Linked DNA regions of Cricetulus griseus. The protein of the gene in region 1 purifies or fractionates together with the protein of each later gene. This does not show direct contact. Links are inferred from orthologs where the notes say so. Each region holds a gene or a part of one and is shown in the gene's direction. Other genes may lie near its edges.

What was found.
Region 2: the proteins of Stk24 (region 1) and Cttnbp2 purify together in Homo sapiens (affinity purification with mass spectrometry; 3 studies listed by BioGRID and IntAct, with this or other methods). This does not show direct contact. The link is inferred for Cricetulus griseus from reciprocal best matches to the Homo sapiens genes STK24 and CTTNBP2.

Annotation. Positions count from the first base shown.
Region 1 is NW_023276807.1:271,167,353-271,177,873, reverse strand, and holds part of Stk24 (serine/threonine-protein kinase 24), read left to right. Parts: intron 1-3,684; coding exon 3,685-3,870; intron 3,871-5,648; coding exon 5,649-5,794; intron 5,795-7,513; coding exon 7,514-7,637; intron 7,638-8,367; coding exon 8,368-8,436; intron 8,437-9,942; coding exon 9,943-10,079; intron 10,080-10,521. UniProt on the Homo sapiens protein: Serine/threonine-protein kinase that acts on both serine and threonine residues and promotes apoptosis in response to stress stimuli and caspase activation.
Region 2 is NW_023276806.1:208,172,001-208,182,521, forward strand, and holds part of Cttnbp2 (cortactin-binding protein 2), read left to right. Parts: intron 1-3,915; coding exon 3,916-5,548; intron 5,549-10,521. UniProt on the Homo sapiens protein: Regulates the dendritic spine distribution of CTTN/cortactin in hippocampal neurons, and thus controls dendritic spinogenesis and dendritic spine maintenance.

The DNA of each region.
Region 1 (10,521 bases):
TGCAGACCCTGGATAGATGGCTCGTGGCAGGCAATGCCGCAGCACAGGAGCACCAAGGTGGGTGGGATCTTGGCACAGTGATGAAGGGCAGGGCCTGGACAGAGCTCAGCCTGCTCTGTATAGATAGGGCTTCTAGAGAAAGAATCAGAGTGTAGTGGTATCTTGTTCCGACCATGGACTTGGGGTGGTGGCCACACCTTAGGGTGTGGCTTCAGTGTGTGACGATGGACGTGACCCCTTATAAGGAAGAGGAGGGGCTGGCTCGTGCTCTCTGAAGTTGTGGTTGGAGCATCCTTCAGGGCAGAGGCTGCCCACTGCATCAGAGAATCCACAGAGAAGCCCATGGCAGAATGGGGCAAGCATCATTCTATAGTGACTGCACCATGTGTTCTCATTTTGGTCTCAGGTCCTTACTCCCAGAGGCTGTGAGACAGCAGGAGACTGCAGTCCTCCCACAGTTGCTTGTTTTTCAGCTTCTGTACCTCGTGTTCATTGTTTTTTTGGTCCTTTAGTTTTTTGAAGCCTTGTAATAGGCCACTCCATTTGCTCGGGTCAGCGGCCTGTGCATAGTAACAATGATCATGGCAGAGAAGTAGCTTTCCTGAGTCCCAAACTTCACAACAGCAGCAAAAATTTAACTCAGGGATGCTCATAGGTCGAACATTGTTTTTTGTTTGTTTATTTATTTACGTGCGTGTGTGCGTGCGTTCGTCTATGTGAATATGCACGTATGAATGCTGATCCTTGGGAAGGCTGGAAGCATTAGGTCATCCCCGAGATGGAGTCAGGCTGCTCTAAGCTGTCTGACACAGGTGCTGGGAACCAGACCAGGATTCTTACGAGAACAGTGTGAGCTCTGAAATGTGTAGCTGTCTTTCCAGCCGCCAGTCCCCATCCCCTATGAAGACGGTTTTGCTCTGTTGCTGGAGTCTGACAAACTGGTGAGCTGCCTGCTTCAGCCTTCTGGTGTTGAGATTGCAATGATGTGTTAGCATGCCAGGCTCAAGCCTTTGTCACTCTTTCTTCTCTCTCTCTTCTTTTTAAGATAGGACCCTCCTCCATGTGTAGCAGCTTTCCTGGCTCATTAAATGGTGTGTGGAACATAGGCTAACTTGCCTTTGGGACCTTGGGTGGCTCTTGTAAGGTGTCATGGCATGTCATGGTGGGTGAAGGTGCAGCTGTCCCACGTTCTGGCTTGAGAGAACTCAGAGACTGGTGATGTGGTAGCTCGGGTAGGAGCTCTTTCCCCGGCATCCAGAAAGCAGCAAGTGTGCTTCAGGCTAGTCAGTTCTGCTCTCTGCATTTGTTGCCCAGGCCTTTTCCCTGAGTTCTGTCATACAGAAAGGTGGGTGTATTGTCCACAGCTCACTGTCAGTGCTCATGTCTGAATTTTGGTAGAAGAGGGACTAGAATCCAAGTTCCTTTCATTGCAGGTCATTCTCTTTCAGTTGCACTCAATTGGCTTTTCAACCATGGCCCTTAGGACTTGGAACCCAGGCCACCCATTTCTGTTTTACACATAGCCACCCCTTTTTTGTTTGCCAGAGAGCTCTCCTGATCTTGCTGTCATTCCAGAGCATCTCTAAAATGACTTTGTGGTACAGTTCAACCTTGGTTGTTTTGGGCTATGACTGTCCTCTCCTTACCTGATTTTCATTCGAATCCCCAGGTGCCACACGTCGTAAATGTAGTGATAGGCAAGGTTACGTTTGCTGGGATTTGGTAGAATCAGTTCATTAAGTTAATGGGCTATGGTAATGTAATTATTTGTTCTGAGGTAGAGTAAGTAATGCTGCTTGTGGAATGTTTGGGAGACGCCTTCTGTCTTCCTACTCACATTTGTTAGGGTAGGTTGGGTTTACACATGGATTCTTATTGTGGTCTTTGATTATGTGCCAAATGGCTTGGTGCTCATGGGCTCAGTGTCCAGGTTTGTCAGTGGGCTTCAGATGCACAGGGGGACTGCACAGGCTCCAGGTGCAAGGGCAGCTTAGCCAGGCTAGTGCTAGAAGGACATGGGACGGCTGGCAGTTAAAGCCTTGTCACATGGCCACACATCTGTCACCTGGCTGGGTTTAGATATTTCATAGTTTTGGGTGTTTTTGGTTTTTTTTTTTTGGACAAGGTTTCATTATATAACCCATTTTGGTCATGAACTTTCAGTTCCTCTGGCTCAACCTCCTTAGTGCCAGGATGGCACCAGGTTGTTCTCGGTTAGGACGATCCAAAGAGGACAGGTGAGAGTCAGGCCTTCCTTAATGCTCCTGTAGGTTGCTTTCCTATGTGTGGCTTTCTTGCTTCTTGTCACCTTCATGGTTCTGACTGGTACCCTGCCGTAAGGGTTTCTGGAACTTTCAAAGTTACAATGGCAAGTGAGTCCACTCCAAGTGGTTAAAGGTCAGCAATGTCCGAGTCCTGTAGTCACCTGAACAGGCCTTCTCTTGCCACGTGTAAGAGAGAAGGCTGTCCCTTCAGGGCCTGGTGATGAGTTCACAGGGCAGTGACGTGAGCAGAGGTGTCTCCCTCCACTGCAGGTCCCCATGTCAGCTGTTTGCCAGCCTGTTGTGTTGTTTGTTTTGAGTTGCTGACAGCCCTGCTCACTGTAGAGCAGCCCTAAGACTGCTGTGTGTTCCCAGTCTATCTGATGTGTCTTTCCCGGTGTGTTCTCAGCCTGGGTCCCGTGGACTCTGACATGAGACTCAGACTCAGCACTGGGGAGCCCTGCTGCCTAAGCCCATGTACCAATCACTTCAGTCAGTGCACAGTGGGTTCCTTAAATGGTGACTGTAGTGAAGGGCATTCAGCAGTCTTAGGAAAAGGCTGTCAGTAACTCAAACCAAACGAAACACACAACACAACAGGCCACAAGACTTAGTGACTTATTTTATAATGTTGTATGACGACACATAGACGAAGTCTGTACGGAAGTGCTAGTAGTGATTTTGGTTGTGTGGTGATGTGTTAATGTTTCCCATGTCCATGTGTGACCACACTTCATAGCAAACATTCTGCATGGCTGAATGCAGGTAGAGCGTTTGCTTAGCATGCGTGAGGCCCTACGTCCAATTCCCAGCACTGCCAAAGCAATCAAACAAAACAAAGCTGCTGTAAGTTCTGGGCACAGTGGTCGGCCCTTTACATATCCTTCTGTAACCACCTCCCTCTTGAAAAGCAAGGGGGCGGGGCTCAGGGAAGCAATTCTCTAATGTTGTAAGACTACAGAGCTGGTGTTGAGACCAAGGTTCCCTCTGGATCTGAACAGCTGTGCCTGGCACCAGGCGCTGCTCAAGGGGTGACTCCCAAGCAGCTCCGCCTGCTCGTCGGCTCCTGTGAACACTGCTGCAAGGGCTGTACTGAGCACACCTCACAGGCGCGATGCCTACCATAGACGCGGCCAGTCAGGAGCTATATAGGGCGGGGCATTTGCTTCAACAGATCTGCCCACTGTGTTTTGTCTTGAAATTATGCCAAGGGCTTGTGTTTCTTCTTAGTTCAAGATGATTTTCTTTTTCAGAACCTGAGATTGAAACAGACCCACAGACAGACAGACAGACAGTCTCTCTCTCTCTCTCTCTCTCTCTCTCTCTCTCTCTCTCTCCTCTCTCTCTCTCTCTCTCTCTCTCTCTCTCTCCTCTCTCTCTCTCTCTCTCTCTCCATGTCTTAAAGATGCTTTGGTCCTTGCAGGCAGACATCTGGTCCCTCGGCATCACAGCGATAGAACTGGCCAAAGGAGAGCCTCCACATTCCGAGCTGCACCCCATGAAGGTGTTATTCCTCATCCCAAAGAACAACCCTCCCACACTGGAAGGAAACTACAGCAAGCCCCTCAAGGAGTTTGTGGAGGCCTGTTTGAATAAGGAGCCCAGCTTTGTGAGTGTACCCCGTCTCTGTGGTCTCAGCTGGTTTGAATTTGTTCTTTTGGGGTTGTCCCAGTCACTGTTAGCCACTGTCTCCATGAGCTCATACATCTTTGCAAATGAGTTTGATTTCTTGGAATTACAGAGACTTTTGTTGTTGCCATTTTACCTTTTAGGGATTTAAGATGTAATTATTTTGTTTAGAGTTTTCTAATGTCTTACACCTCATTGAACCTGGAGAATATTCTCTGTAGAACTGGAGTAGGGTCGGCAAGTTTTTAGTGCTCAGAGAGAAACAGGCTGTAAACTGGAAAACTACTTTGGTAATGGCAGAGGCTGGCCTGAAGATAATGGCAGTAAATATTGTTTCCAGTTGTCGTGTGCTGTGAGGCAGACAAATCAGACACATGGGACCTGCCCATCTCTGCCTCCTCTCCCTGGCCCTCTGAGTTTATTCAGCGGTGGCAGAGCCCACGCACCAGCCACATTGAGCTTTGCCTCCTTTTCCTGATAACTGGGGCTTTCCTTTGAAAGCAGCATGTAATTTGTGTCACGTGTAGCATCCTGTGTCCACGTTTTGGGTTTCTTTGAGCAGAGTTAGCTGGCAGCAATGCTTCATTGAACCCTAAGAATATCCATGAGGGGTCCCCTTGGCCTCTTGTCTGAAAATGGTGAGAAAAGCTGAGTTTTCCAAGAGTAGTTCCCCCGTCGGTACCAGCTCAGGCAATGGAATTGATCATATCGTGGCTGCAGATTGAGGTCAGCCTATCTGTCAGCATTTGGTCACTGGGGTGGGTGTGGTCTTGCATGAAGTCCACTTGTTTGATTGCTCAAGGCACAGGGTAGCATCCACAGTATGTTAGCATCCGGGAAGAGACCAAGTGTGTACACATCTTCTAAAGCATGTCAGTGCTCATTTATTACTAGGGTACACCCCTCCATCTTGGCTTGTCCCTGGACCTTCAGACAAGAAGGTCTGCAAAGCTGAGAATAGGAGCACTTGGGACGATGGAGAAGGGGAGGCCACTGGGGTTCTCAGAAATCATGGCTAGAGGAACATGCTGTTCTTACAAGAGGAAAACGTTGATTATCTGGAGCAGGTGGGACTATGGTGTGCCTGGCTGGCACCTCTGTGCTTTTGCTGTCTGTCCCTGGTTGGGCCACTCTGTGTTGAGGGAGCTTTGTGCCAGTAGATGGGAAACCACTGGCTAACCTCTGGGTGTGCCATTCAGTTGGAGTTGTGCCACGTCCAGGTGGTGATAGAGTTGTCGGCCCTTGACACTGGGGTAGGGATAGGTTCACACACTGACTTTTCTAGTTGGGAATGCTGGTGACCGACCAGTTGTGTATCTCCTGACTCCTGCCCCAACCTGTTCTAGATGAGTCTAATTACTGAGTTGGTTTTAATTTGTGGTATTAGCCTAACACTGTAGGAAGTCATGAAGAGCATGTATTTCCCTTAGTCAGCACTTGTCATGAGGTGCCATGTAAAATAGGAGCTACTCTCTCAGGCAGTGCCATGGAAACCAGGAGAAGCTCTCTCGGGCAGTACTCACAAAGCTCTCCCTCTGTGGAGTTACTGTAGAAGGGCTCTTGCTTCAACCTAATGGTTCTGATAGAATGTTTTTGTCCATGTTGGGAACTGTCACATTTACCTTGTGCCTGTAGTCTTGGGCATAGGTGTGGAGTGACTGATCTGGTGTTTTAGCCCAGTGGTCTGGCTGCCCGGGTGGAATAGAGTAGGATGAAGAAGACACTTCTCACGATTATTTGGACGCTTGTGTTTTCCAGAGACCCACCGCCAAGGAATTACTGAGGCACAAGTTCATAATCCGCAATGCAAAGAAAACGTCCTACCTGACCGAGCTCATCGACAGGTACAAGAGGTGGAAGGCGGAGCAGAGCCGTGACGACTCCAGCTCGGAGGACTCGGATGTGTAAGCGGCCCCGCCCCACAGGCTGGAGCTACCAGTCCTTCCTGATGGACTGTGTGTGCATGCGAGTGTCTGTGCTTTGGGCTGTGTCCCTTCCTTTTGGACTTACGCTGAGTTTTGTGTTGTACACGTGCCTTGTTTGAGGTTCTTTGTCCCCGCACTGCCATGGGGTTTGAGTGAGTTCTGCATAATTAGAAGCATAGGCAGAGTTGTGGCAATAGCTTCCTTCTCTTCATTACCCCTGACGATACCCCCCTCTAAAGGTACTGACAGACAGTCCTCGTATGCAGTGCTGAAGAGAAAAGAAAGAATGCTTTGGCGACTGGTCGGTGTTGCTCTGTGTGGGGCAGTTACTCACTGAAAGCGGGTTCCCCTAAGCACCACGTTGTGCCGACTGGCGTGTGAAGTGACTGGCACCCTCCAAACAGGAGCTAGAGGGAGGGTGGCCTGGCTGTCTTGTAAGAGTGAAAGGAGGCACCTGGAGGCCCCATAGCCATTAGCTAGCATCGTGTCTCCATGCCAGGACAGCTGACTGCAAGCCTCTGCGACCCACCCATGTCTGAAGATCCTGGTTACTGTTTATAACCAAGGTTGAGACCACTGACTGGATGGTTAGCTCAACAGCGAAGGCTGAAGAGAGTGGAGGCAGGGCTGGGGGCCAGGCTGTGGCAGTAGGTGTGGATGGAGGTGTCAAGGTCCTGACCTGTCACACCAGCTAATCCCAGCTACCAGAGCCTTGCTGAAACCATCTCAAAATAAAATGTACACAAAGTGCTGGGATTGTTGCTCAGGATCTGCCTAGCATGTTATAGGAGGCTCTGGGTCTAATCCCCAGTGAAGGGTTTGGGTAAAGGAAGCAGGGAAGGAAGGAAGGTGTTCCAGGTTTCAGCACTGAGGAGTAATGTCACTGTGGTAACACATCACAAACAGTTTGATGTGGGCCATGTTGGAATTTGAGCTGCTGTGGAATGGTGTAGAAGACACGTAGCTTAAAGGATTGTTGTGGCACTGAGAGCAGGCAGAAGACACAGACTTATGTATACCCTGCTGTAGAAAAGACCTTGGAATTGGCGCTGTGAGAAGATGGCGTCACTTAAGGAGAGGGGTCAGAGCCGGGAGTCAGCCTCTAGGAAGCCAGCATCAGAGGACGGTGGGGACATGGGAGCAGCTGTGGCTCTGTCGGTGGGAAAGGATGGAGGTGACAGGACAAGTGTGAGGCATTGCTGCTGAGGGCCAAGCAGGCTCCAGAATGAGCAGGGAGGTGACCCCCTTCTCTGACAGTGTGTAGGGTTTTGGTGGCAGTACACCAGGGGGCTGTGGCGTTAGGGACAGTGATAGATAGTGAGTAGAGTTGCTTAACTTGTAGCTCGGCGTGGCTGCGAACGGGCTGTGGCCTAAGGGGAGAAGAGGAGAACAAGGTACCTGCAAAGAAAGTGAGGTTCAAGTGAGGGACAGAGAAGGGGCAGATGGTACTTAGGAGAGGTGTGGCACCTTGTTGTGCCACAAGCAGCAGGCAGCAGCGGCAGCGGCAGCATAGTGGTAGTGGGCCGGTAGCACGAGGGCAATCCTAGGAGCCACACCCCTTCCCGTCCTCTGTGATGTTCTGGGAGGCCTCCAGACTGAGGGGCACTGGCGACTGAGTGGGGCTGGGGTCAGTGGCATGGGCTGTGTGGTTCATGGCCTAGCCCATGTTGGTGAATTTGGTGGAATTTCTGTGTTAAGGGAAACAGATGGCCAGGCGTCTGGAGGCAGTGACTCTGGGGACTGGATCTTCACAATCCGGGAGAAAGATCCCAAGAATCTGGAGAATGGGACTCTTCAGCCATCAGATTTGGAAAGAAATAAGGTACGGTGGTGGTTTGTGCAATCTCCCATGCCCATGCTCGCCCAGGACAAGCCTGCTGTGGGAGTGGATGTGGAGCTCCTCGAAGCAGCTCCTTGGTGGCATTGCCCTCAGGGAATTGGTCCTGCCTGAGAGTGTGGATGCTGGCCTGTGTGCCCTTCACCTCCTGACCCTCGGCCACATGGTGGCGCTGGAAGTGTCACACATGACCACTCTGTGAGCACTTGCTGGACTTCTCATAACATTGCTGATTTTATGGGGGAGTTTTAATTGTTGATATTTAATACAGACTTGAGGAGGTGGTTTGTCTCCACTTAAATTTACAGAAAGCTATGTTGTGAAGATTTATTTATTTATTTATTTATGTTCAGTTGTCAGGCTATGTGGACTACTTGTGACCATACAGCCTCCTCTGGTGAGGTAGGCAACTTCAGAGAGGTGGGGGGAACCGGGCTTTTCATACAATGGCTGCCTGGAGCACCTGGCTTTAGTCCTCCAGAGTGTCCTTGGAAAAGACTGCAGAGCAGGGCAGGGCAGGGCAGCAAGTTTGTTCTCACCTACCTGGTATCTTGCAGTGATTTCCCGTGGGGCCCCTCTGTCGACAGTCTCACTCAGATAGTAACAGAAATCACTTCCAGGAGTTCACTGGAAAATCCAGTCCATACCTTGGTAGAACCTTTGCCTGTCTCAGTGTTGCCTGTTTCTAATGGCCCCTTTTCTTTTCTTCCCCAAGATGAAAGACATCCCAAAGAGGCCTTTCTCTCAGTGCTTGTCCACAATAATTTCTCCTCTGTTTGTGGAGGTAAGATCCCTGGCTGCCTTTCTTGTGGGGAGGGATTAGGAGGGGGGACAAGGGGAGCAGGGCTGTTCTTTTGTAGGTGGCTGTCGGGACAAGTTGGGGCCATTAAAACGCCTATAGCAGAGGCAGGCTCAGTGTCTTCATCTCAGTGGCTTCCATAAGCCAGGCACATGCGTAGGGAAAGCTGTTTGGATTTCCATGTTTGTCCGGCTGTGTAGGTTTTACTGGGCTTAAACTATTGAAATCATTTCTCAGTAGTGACCCCCAAATCCAAATCCACCAGAAATGAGTTAATACTGTGGAAGTTCTAGAGAACCCAGAGGAAATACTTCCAGTCCCTCCCGTTCGTCTGTCCGTATTCGCCTGTGTCGTGCAACCCCCCCCCCCCCCATGCACTGTCGTTAGGAATCAGGGCTGCAACTAGAGGGGAGAATTCAGTGTTCATCGTGGTTCCCAGAGCTCAGTAAACACACAAGCATGGGCGAACCAGCGCACGACGCTCCATGCTGCAGTCTGCTTATCCAGGGCGGTTACGCACGTACACACGCATGCACGCACGCACGCACGCAGTGATAAGGGGCTGTTCAATCAGACAGTCCTGCTGATAGGGGGACTCTGGCTCTTTCTTTGCTTCTGCTTTGAGACACACAGGTGTGGGGCAGGCGGTATTAGCAAACAGACATGTTTGTTGTGTGCTGCTTCTGTGGGCCTCTCCAGTGTCAGCCGTGGTCAGTTGTCTCTTCTCCATGGCCCACTCGTAGGGCGACAGGGGTTGTCTGTTCTCAGCACCCTGCAGAATCTGAGCTGAGTCTTTCCTGACACATTTGCAAAGTCATGGAGGGGGAGCTCTGGAGGACCTGTGTGTCTGGCTTCTGCAGCTGCTACCTGGATGTTTGGGGAGGTCGTGGATCTTGAGTGAACTCAGCCCTGATGTGAGCGGCTCTTGTGCTGTACTCCGAGTGCCTTCTGGAAAGAGAGTTGGCATTGGTCTTCATGCCCGGGAGGTGTGCCTAAGCACACAGCTGTGACTCATGGGACCAGAGGAGGTGTTGCCCAAGTCCCAGGGCTCAGGGTGGCCACGTGAGAACATTTGACAGCACTCCTGGCCCTAAAGGCAGTGTGTCTGAGTTTTACCCCAGCCCATAACCATCAGGAGTGCGGCTTTGATGACCTTCATAGTAGCTGCCAGTGAATCCAGAGTTGCATGTAGTTGACCTTGATAGCACTTTCTGCAGTGAGGAGAGGGAATGGATTTGCGCCTTCAGACTCACTTGTGTGTGGAGTTGTGCAGCGTTGTTCTTGCATGGAAGAGTCAGGTGCGGGTCCTCTCTTGCCCTATATGTACATAATGTTCATAGAGGCCCAAGATAGGTGTCCCAGAGTGACTGAGCAGCCACCAAGCTCATGCCTGATCCCTTGACAGCCTGACGTGGTGGTGTCGGTGATGGCATCAGGGCCCACCCAGGTTTGTGCACACACATGTCTCATTGCTCTTGTATACATTTTCAGCTGAAGGAGAAGAGCCAGGCATGTGGAGGAAACTTGGGGTCAATAGAAGAGCTCCGAGGAGCCATCTATTTGGCAGAAGAGGCTTGCCCTGGGATCTCTGACACCATGGTGGCTCAGCTTGTGCAGCGGCTGCAGAGGTAACTGGCCTTGGGCTGGAGCGGGTTTGTAGGAGGGGAGCCTGGTGGTGCGGCATGGCTTCCTGGACTAGGAAGCTGCCACAGGCCGCAGCTTGGCATATCTCTTGGGTGCTTCATTCTTGACTGTTCCTGTTGTCCCCCAGACCAGGGGCTTACAGCAAAACCTATTGAAGGCTTATTCTGAAGTGTACAAATGAAAGAAATGAATCTGGGAAAGACCACAGAGCCTTGCATTTATAGCTCTTGCCAGAGAAATGCAAGATGCCTTAAAAGACCTCTGTGTCCGTGGTCTTACAAGCAGAGAGACAGAGCCTCAGTCACAATGCTTACTGGGAGCTGGGTTTGAAGCCAGAGGCTTTGGTGTGCCATGCTTAGAGCTGTGCTTGTAGGTCTGTGCTGTGGCTCGGTGCCTCCCACTCTTGAGGCCATTGAAGGAGAGTGG
Region 2 (10,521 bases), on another chromosome or scaffold:
AAGTTGCAGAGAGGGAGGAGTGATGAGCAAAGGGGTCAAGACCAGGCTGGTGAAACCCACAGAAACAGCTGACATAAACAAGTGGGAGCTCATGGACCCCAGACTGATATCTGGGAAACCAGCATAGGACTGATCCAAACCCCATGAACGTGGAGTGGATGTCAGTGAAGAGGCCTCAGAAATCTATGAGGCCTTTGGTAGTAGATCAGTACTTATCTCTAGCATAGTGGGGAGCCCATTTCACATAGAGGGATAATACCTCAGCCTAGACATATGGGGGAGGGCCTAGGCCCTATCCCAAAGGATATGACAGACTCTGAAGACCCCCCCCCCTGGAAGGCCTCACCTTCCCTGGGGAGCAGAAATGGTATGGAATAAGTAGGGTGTTAGTGGGGGGCAGGGGAGAGGAAACTGGGATTGGCATATAAAACAATCTTGTTTCTAATTTAAATTTAAAAATGGAGAAAAAATAAAATAAAATAATAGCTGTGACCTCTGGTTAAACAGAGGTCTTCTTATGGTCTCATGACACTGTCAGAGCAATAGCATAGTGGATTCTTCCAGAAGAGGCATATTAGGACTGCCCAAAGTTGTTGGTCTTTAGAACATTTTACCTTCCTCTGCTGTAGGTAGCTAAAATTTGACTTGAGCCAAGTATTGACTTTACAGAGAATACATTTCATGTTTGTGCCTAAACCAGTAAACTGTTGAACAGTCTGGAAGTACCAGACATCTTTTCATTTCCCAAAGAATGCAAGTGTTTTTAATACTGTACTGTAGTCTATGTGTTTGTATTGTATCTAAAACACTGTACACAACTTCAAAGTGTTGTTATTACTATCAAGGGAGGAAGAAATGGTTCCCTTAATGATGTTGTTTGATGCAACTGTGAATCACAGTCATACAAAACACAATTAGGTTATGCCCACGTGTTTGTTTTCAATATCAAAAGGAGATAAAATAGCCTTTCTTCATCTTTAAACAACTAAATCCACTTTGACCCATGAAGCACTTTCTGGACTAACAGGAAAATAGTTTGTAGTGGACAGGTGCAGTGGGTGGGCCAACCTGATTGCTGCATCGCAGCCCATGGTATACCCTTAATGTTTCATAGTTTCATGACACATACTTCTCAGTAGAAAATAAACAATCTCGAGGACTTGTCAGAATAATGTAACTGGCTACTACTCCTGAATGTGTGATTCCTGACAGAATCTAAGGTAGCATACAGAATCTGGAATTCTCATGTTACCTCAGGACAACTAAGACAGGGACTTGGCCTAGGTGCCCATTAATGAATGGCCGGATGAAGAAAGTGTGGTTTATGTATATAGTATAGTGTGATCCAGCCTTAAAGGAGACTGGAATGATGTTACTTTTAGGAAAGTGAAGTGAACTGGAGAGCATGATTTTAAACCAAATAAGCCAACTCAGGAAGACAAACCTTACACGTTTTCTCTCCTGTAGATTCTGCATTTCTAAATATGACATAAAATCATAAGGAAGAAAATATTTATTTCTTTTTCCCATTTCTCTGACAAAATTCTTTACAAAAGCAATTTGAGGAAGGACAGGTTTATTTGGTCTCCTGGTTTGAGGGGATAGCGTGTCTCATGCTCTGGAAGGCAAGGTGGCAAGAATGTGAGACAATTGGTCACATTGTGGCTATGGTCAGCTGGCTTCCCCCTTTCCCTGTTTTATTCAGTCTAGGACCCTAGTGCATGGAATGGCGCTGCCTGCTCAAGGTGAGCTTTCCTTTTTTGGAAACACCCTCATAGACATGCGCAGAGGTAATACACCTCCTAGATGATTCCAAAAGTTAATAGCAAAGATTCCCCATGACAAAAACTATTTAGGAAGAGGAAGGGGACCAATGGTGGGGAGGTTCGAAAGAAGATAATTGGAGAAGAATTTGATTAAATTCTGTATATATGTGTTATATATACATACATGAAAATACCACAAAGATAATTATTTTGTGTAATATATAGCCATTAATAAAAATGCAGTTATAAATGTTGCTCATGTGCTCAGAAAAGCTGTTTCTTTTAGTAAATTACTATAGAGCAACAATGCTAACTTCATTCATTCATTAAACAATTTATCATGTACAACCATGTGCCAGCCACTATTGTAGGTCTGGAGGACACAGCAAATGATTCTTAGTCTTTCCACTCATAAAGTCATGTTGTAGAGAAGACAGATAGATACTAAACAAAAATGGTATGGACAACAAGAAAGGGGCTTTCTATGGAGGTGAAAGAAGGTGTCTTAGGGTTTTTTTTTTTTTTAAAGATTTTATTTATTTATTATGTATACAGTCTTCTGCCTGCATGCCAGCAGAGGGCACCAGATCTCATTCAAGGTGGCTGTGAGTCACCATGTGGTTGCCGTGAATTTGAACTCAGGACCTCTGGAAGAACAGTCAGTGCTCTTAACCGCTGAGCCATCTCTCCAACCCGTGTCTTAGGGTTTTTACTGCTGTAATGAAACACCATGACCCAACAGCATCTTGGAAAGGAAAGGGGTTTTTTGCTTACACTTCCGTATCACAGTCCATCATCAAGGGAGGAACCTGAAGGCAGAAATCGATGCAGAGGCATGATGGAAGAGTGCTGTTTACTGACTTGTTCTTCTTGCCTTGCTCAGTCCCACCAGTCCAGGGCTGTCACTGCCCACAGTAAGCTGGACCCTCCAACACCATCCATCAATCTAGAAAATTCCCCACAGGCTACAGGCCAGGATCATGGGGGTACTTTCTCAACTATGGCTACCACTTTCCAGATGATTCTGGCCGGTATCAAGTTGACATAAAACAGGCCTCACTGTAAGGGTTACAGTCAAACAGAAGCCTGAAGGAAAGAGGGGAGCCAACCTCTTCTGCTGCTCGATGATTTCTGTGACTATGAAGGAATCTCATCACCTCAGGGTGGCAGTGTAGCCCAATGGTAGGGCACTTTTATCATGCATGCAGCCCTGGGTTCAGTGCCCTCCCCTCACATCTGGAGACATAAAGGTTTTATAAGCTTACTCTCTGTGTCAATCCTGTGGCTTCATGAGCAGCCAATACATTTAGCTGATGAAAAGGCAGATCAGCCCCACACATAAGTTTGATGAGCAGGGGAGCCATAGGTTTTGCTTGCTAGTTACTTCTGTGACATGCATAGCATTCTTCATGAAGGAGAGCCTCCTGAAGGTGTGTGAGGGATTGTAGGCAGACAGGACAACAAGGTCAAAGACCCTGAGACAAGAGGTAGGGCCAAGTTCAAGAAATGCCAGGAAAGACAACGTAGCTGGACTGCAAAGTGGGATCCAAGTAAAGGCTGAGGGTCAGTCTCTAGGCTCACTAGCATAGACTGTAGTTCTAATGAAATAATCTGCTATCTCTTTATAGTTTTATTTTAAAAATCCCTTTACATGTGGTTACATATGACTTCCAGCCCATCAAAAGATGCTCAAAGAGGTAAATAAATAACTTAGCAATAGAATACCATTGGCAGATATGGAGCTTGGAATTTAAGTACTCTGATTGTGTAGCTCAAAGTAATTTCCAGCCACTGAACCATCATTAAGTGGCACCCATTCTCTCACTGATCTCTGCTCATCAAAACAGCCCCTTTTGAACTCTGCGCTGTGATTTGAGGCATCCTACTATGATTCTCTTGCACTGTAGTTAACTTTAATAGATTAAAACAATTCCCTTTTGTTGCCATGTAGGTGTTTTTAATAAAGCCATTTACGGCAATCTTCCCATTTTAATGAGTCTTTAAACATTATCCTTTCAAAAATCATAACAAAATGTGGCACTTTTGCTAACCCAAATCATGCCTTTGTTCAGAAATTAACAAAAAGCCCTTCTATGATACAAAGACTATTGTGTCTATTAATCCAGGCTTCCCTTTGAATATCTTCCAGTTGGAGATGGAAAAGCTTCAGCTCCAGGCCCTTGAGCAGGAGCACAAGAAGCTGGCTGCCCACCTGGAGGAGGAAAGGGGCAAGAACAAGCATGTGGTCCTGATGCTGGTGAAAGAGTGTAAGCAGCTCTCAGGCAAAGTCGTGGAGGAGGCCCAGAAGCTGGAGGAAGTCATGGTGAAACTGGAGGAGGAAAAGAAAAAGACAAGTGAGTTGGAAGACCAGCTCTCAGTGGAGAAACAAAGAAGCGCCGGAATGGAAGCTCAGCTGGAGAAACAGCTCTCCGAGTTCGATACAGAACGGGAACAGCTGCGTGCCAAGCTGAACCGAGAAGAGGCACACACCACTGACCTCAAAGAGGAGATAGACAAGATGAAGAAAATAATGGAGCAAATGAAAAGGGGAAATGACAGCAAGCCAGGCCTCTCCCTCCCACGGAAGACAAAAGATAGGCGCCTGGCTTCAGTATCTGTGGCAACAGAAGGGCCCATGATAAAGTCTGTTGCTTGCCAGACAGATGCAGTGACAGAAAGCACTGACCCTGTGAAGAAGTTGCCTTTGACTGTACCCATAAAGCCTTCCACAGGGAGCCCTCAAGTTCCCACAAACACAAAAGGGAATGTGGGCCCAGGTGCCCTACTGATTAGACCAGGTATTGACAGGCAGGCTTCCCACAGTGACTTGGGTACCTCTCTACCTACTGCCCCGACACCAAGTGCAAATAGAATTGAGGAAAATGGACCAAGCACGGGCTCCGTCCCCGATCTATCAAATAGCACACCCACAACCCCCAGTGGCACTGTCCCTGCCACTGCCCAGACACCAGGCACAGCTCCTCAGAGCCTCTCACAGGCTCCCCCTGTGCACAGTTTACATTCACCATGTGCCAACACACCTTTGCATCCAGGTCTCAACCCACGAATCCAAGCAGCCAGATTTAGATTTCAGGGCAATGCTAATGACCCAGACCAGAATGGAAATACCACCCAAAGTCCTCCCTCAAGAGATGTCTCTCCTACAAGTCGTGACAACCTAGTTGCCAAGCAGCTAGCCCGGAATACTGTGACCCAGGCACTGTCAAGATTCACCAGCCCTCAAGCAGGTGCTTCTCCAAGGCTGGGAACATCCCCAGGAGGGGATGCTGGCACCTGCCCTCCAGTCAGTCGAACGGGTTTAAAGACTCCTGGGGCAGCACGAGTTGACAGAGGAAATCCTCCTCCTATCCCTCCCAAAAAGCCAGGGCTCTCCCAAACTCCTTCTCCACCACACCCCCAGCTGAGGGCCTCCAATGCAGGGGCCAAAGTTGATAACAAAATTGTGGCTTCACCTCCCTCCACTTTGCCACAAGGGACCAAGGTAGTAAATGAGGAGAACATCCCTAAGTCATCTTCCCCCCAACTGCCACCAAAACCATCCATAGATTTAACTGTGGCACCTGCGGGCTGTCCCGTTTCGGCCCTGGCTGCGTCTCAGGTGGGTGCCTGGCCTGCTGAAACCCTTGGACTGAACCAACCTGCATGTTCAGACAGCTCCCTTGACATTCCCACCACCACTGCCTTTTGCTCTTCCATAAACCCTCTTAGTGCCTCATCCCATAGCCCCGGTGCCTCAGACAGCCTCCTGGTAACAGCATCAGGTAAAGGGATTGAACTCTTACACCCTTGTTAAAGAATGTGGCCTATTCTCTCATCTGTCCTATTTTCTTTCAAATTGTCTGAAAACATTTTTAATACCCCTTCCCCGTTTCCCCATTTATTTCCTCTGTTTTTTTTTTTCTTTTTAATTGTCTTTAAGGCTCTTGGGTGATGGTGATTCATCTTGCCCTATGAATTGTGGTTCCATCATGCTAAGTTCTTCTTCTTGAAAATAACTTGAAAATAGTGGTTTTTGAAGCACACAAAGACCATTAATTTAGAGAGACTAAAGCATTTCCAGGAGAGGATAGAGTATCCCTTCTTATCAAATATTTAATCTCAGGAGACCTCAGTGTTAATGGATCATCCTTAGTGTGCATTCAATTCGTTCCTTCTAGGGTGACATAGGAAACATCCTTTCAAGTCACTGTTCACACCACTCGGGTTTAGCAGTCGTCGATGGGGGTTTGCTCTGTAGGTAATGGACTGGAGGTGAATATCTGTTTGGTATGAACATTCCCTTCTTATCTTCAACAAAGGACCATGAGTGAATGCCAGGTACCCTGTTTGATAAGGTAGTGTCCTCTAAGTCTTGAGCACACAGATGGCTTCTGTGCCACATGTGTCATGTTAAAGTTCCCATTGCATCAGGGCATCCTGAAGTTGCTGGTTGGGGGAGTTGCAAAAGGACTAGATAATTTTCTTTTTGTTGTATATAGTTTCATGGAAGCATTTCTTTTTTTATTAACAAGGCTAAAGTGACATGCTTGGTGTCGAAGCTCTGTTAGCACCTGGAACAGTTGGTGCTGACATCACACATTGGGGTCAGCAGGTCTATTGGGCTCTAAAGAGAAGGGGTTTAAAAAGGAAAAGAGCATTTCCAGAGCATCACATTTATAACTTAAAGCATGCAGCCCTGTCCTTGAGGGGGTAAGTGCTGCAGATGGCATGCTTGTAGATCAAGCTGTCCCTGTTCCCGTTGAAATTCAGCTTTGAGAGAGGGGTTTTCATTTCTGAGGGCAAAAACTGAGAGCCAGAAACATCATGAACTTTGGAGTGGTAGATCAGTGTTATAGTTGAGGCTCTGTGGTGTGTAACTGTGTTCCTGATAATGAGCAGGTTCTTTCTTCCTTAAATAGGAGTGTATACTGCTCAGAGAGAGGGTTGCTGGAAGGAGTCTCAGAGACCGTGACGCATCAAGGCATGGCACTGACTTGGGGCAGCACGAGCAGTCACAGCCTCATTAAGAGTCTTGCTATAGCTCTTTGGAGAATAGGCCTTACAGTTGATCTTAGTGTCATTTTGCACTGTCTTTATAGGTATTGGAGATTCCCTTTTATTTCTCTCCAAAATGGTTGCATCTCTTGGTATTGCTCAGAATTATGTTAGCTTTCCCACTTGTTAAACATGCCCCGACAAAGGAGAGATTTGGTACCACCCAGAAGATTCTAAACATGAACCTTAAGACCTGCAGGTCGCTGGAAAGCATCGGCTCCAAAGTCATTTGGAGCCCCGTGAGTGCTCTGGTGCAATGTATAGACTGCATGACAGACAGCACTTCCCAGGGCACATGAATGTCATCAGCTGGTTTGTTTACAGCTGCAGAGCCATCTGTCCTCTGATACTTTGGCTCTGCTGGCTGCTGCCTGGGTAGGCACTGATCCCAGTTCCAGCTGCAGACATCCTTAAGGTTTGAAGAGAAGCTCCAGAGGCAGCATGTGTAGTCACTGGTTTTTGAGGGAAGTTTTACAAGATGGCTAATCCCTACTGTATTAAATGTTTGCCCAAACAACCTATTTTGTGTTCAGTGGAATTCTAGATAAAGAAGCCAGGACCCTAAAATAAAATGCCTTTTGGGAATATCTGAGGTGCTAAGGAGAATATAAATAGAGTTTTTGTCGAAGCAGTCACCGTGGAAGATATGTACAATCAGTTTGTTGTTTTCTGATATCCAGTCTTTTGATTTGGCCATAGTCACCTCAACTATAGGAAGACCTTTGGTGGAATAGCAGGCCTCTGTTGGCTTGATTATAAGGTGTGCCTCTTTGGGGCAGCAGGGTGGCACCAGAGGAGTTAGTCCTTCAGCAGGTGTTATTAAGAACCTCCTCATGTACTCCGAGGGCAAAAATGTTAGACTGATGGATGCATGCTTGTATAATTATAGAATTCAACTGCAGGAGTAGGCCATCCTAAACTCCCCAAATTTGATGGTGTTTCGGCTGTATTGCATTTCGTTTGTTCCAATTCTTCTGTTTTTAAGATTATTTGGGTGGTGCTGGGCTGCCTATCCAGGGCCTTGTGCATGCGAGGTGAGCACTTCACTTCTGAGCTCCACTGCAGTGTCTGCCAACACCCCCATCTCAGCTAGAAAGCACCAGAGCACCTTCCATCTGCCTCTTAACCTGGCTGTGCCTAGGTGGGCTTGTCCCTTCATAGGTCATTAGCACATAGGAAGTCATTAACTTCCCACTGACCCCATTGCAGTGACTAGGAACTGCAATTCCTAATTTTTGCTCTTTTGTGGTTCTGATCCTGGAGAGACATTATTTCTATGCTACTGGCTTTGCCATCTAAAACATAAACTCTTGGATACAAAAATTATTTCCCTACTGAAGGCTGTCCTGCCTTATCCTGATGGGTAAGATAGTTTACTGTCTGTCCCTCCTTGCCCTGGACCCCATAATCTTTCTCTTGAGATCACCTGTGTACCTGTCATCTTCTGTGTCTAACAATTAAGTGACCTGAAAGCCCAGAAGAAAGCTGGGATGACAGAAGGTTCCCATTTTAATGGATTGCATTGTCACTTGCACTAAGCAGAGGCAACTTCTTGTCAAACCACGAATTTTTGAAATTGTGTTGTAAGTTCTAAATAAATTAGAAGTTCTTGTCCCTCAGGAACTTATCAAATGAACATGCACAGTCAGTGATTGGATGAGTAAGTTTAAAGCAGGTGTTAACTCCAGGCAACCGAGTCCCCAAACCCTTGCACATTTTCTGTTTCTATTTCGTCATGGTTTTCCTTATCACTATTATTTATTTTATACATTTTATTTCATTTGGTTCAGACTTTTTTCTTTCCTTAAATATATTCTTTAAAGTATCCTCATGTATGATTGGCTTGGAAGCTAAATCCAAAAACGAGAATGGTCTGGGCTGTGACCTTAACCCCTCTCCACCCTCTGAAGCTGGTGCCAGAAGCTGTCCTCAGCTCCTCCTCTTCTGCCATTGCATGTCCCCTCTGTCTCGTGACCTGCTATGCAACGTCCTTACCTTTACTAATGTTTGCCTATGATGCTGCACAACTGAATGACTTTCTAACATCCGTAGAGTAGCTGTATGGATTCGGGTCTATTCTGTCATTACTAATCCAGGTAACCAGATATTACCATTTCTCTCATTATTGAGAGTTTCTGATGAATACTAGTGTTGTGATGAGGTTGTTATTTCACTTCCCCCATATTTGTAACAGGATTTATTAAGATAAATTGTGCTTGAAAAAAATTGGAAGCAACAAGTTAAAAATACAGCATTTATTTGAAGTTTCAGAGTATATGATATTTACAAAGCATATTTCTTTGGTGAAGATTTAAAAAGTATGTTTTTCAGTCCTCTGAGGAAGCTGAGAGAGCTGCTTCTGAATATCACAAGGGGAACGATGACACTTCATGACCAAAGATTAAGAACATTTTTGAATAAAGCATTTTTCCCTTTCACATTAGTGAGGTCTTTGAGAAAATTATATACATAATTTAATGTTTCCATATAAAACAAGTAGAAATATGAATTATTTATTGTCTTGTCTGAAGTCTAGAACTGGTTAAAAATGAAAAGGAAAAATTAAAACACACTTTTAAAGAGTAGCAAAATTTTAGTATGTACACATTGGTATTCATGAAAGAGTATCCAGAACCAAGATTCCTTGAATGAGATCTAGAGACAAGAGAATGACTATGTGCGTGCGTGCGTGCGTGTGTGCGTGTGTGAGTGTGTGTGTGTGTGCAGAAAGCATGAAGCTGACCCCTATCCCCATTCTGCCGGGGAGAGTAGTGTGATGCCTTCCTATTGCTTGTGTTTGCTTTACAGTCAAGGTGTCCAACCTTGGTGTTTATAGTTTTCTATCTATCATCCATTTCTAATAAGTACTGATTTAATTTTTGTGGGCCTGTTTTTTTTGTTTGTTTGTTTTTAAGAAAATACAAAAGGTAAAATGTACCAGAGAGGAGCCTTCTTGTAAGTATGAAGTAAAAATACTACTTTTCTAAGAAGACCTTATCAATATCGATGGGGAAATATTATAAAGATTTGAGAAATACTGAATTTTATAAAACTTTTAATCTTGTCTGTCATTGCTATCCTGCTATGGTAAAAACAATAAATTATCTATGGATTCAGATACTTTGTTATAAAATATAATTTCAAAATTTTAATATTCATTATAGTTTCAGTTGCATAAATGGCCTCTTTTTTATTTAAATTTTAAATGTTCTGAGAAACTTCTTTGTGTTTTTCTTTTGGTATATCCTGAAAGAATTTGAGGCCAAAAACTTAGCATTAAATCATAAGAATAGAATTGACTATTATGTTCAAATTAGCATAACTGAGTACAGGGAGAGTGTCTATCCATTGCATCTTGCTGAAGTCATGTATACCCATGGAAGGTCTGCCCTGACGGAGGTGTATGTGTACCTATATGAAGCACTGCTTAAAAGTACTGTGGCTTTCTTGTATATTTAAACGGAAAAGACACAAATACCAACTAAATAAACATTTGTATTTTACTGTTTTTACAGCCTTTTGATCAAGGAAGGATTCAGAAAATTTTCCAGGCTATATGCAGCCGACTTCTCACTCTTAACAGATTGTCTTCTAAAGCTGCTAAATACTGATGAGAACTATCTAACCATGATAACTCTTACAGTTTTCGTTAAAGCTATATGGTAGCATGCCTGGCCTTGTTGGCCAGTTAAAATGTTCA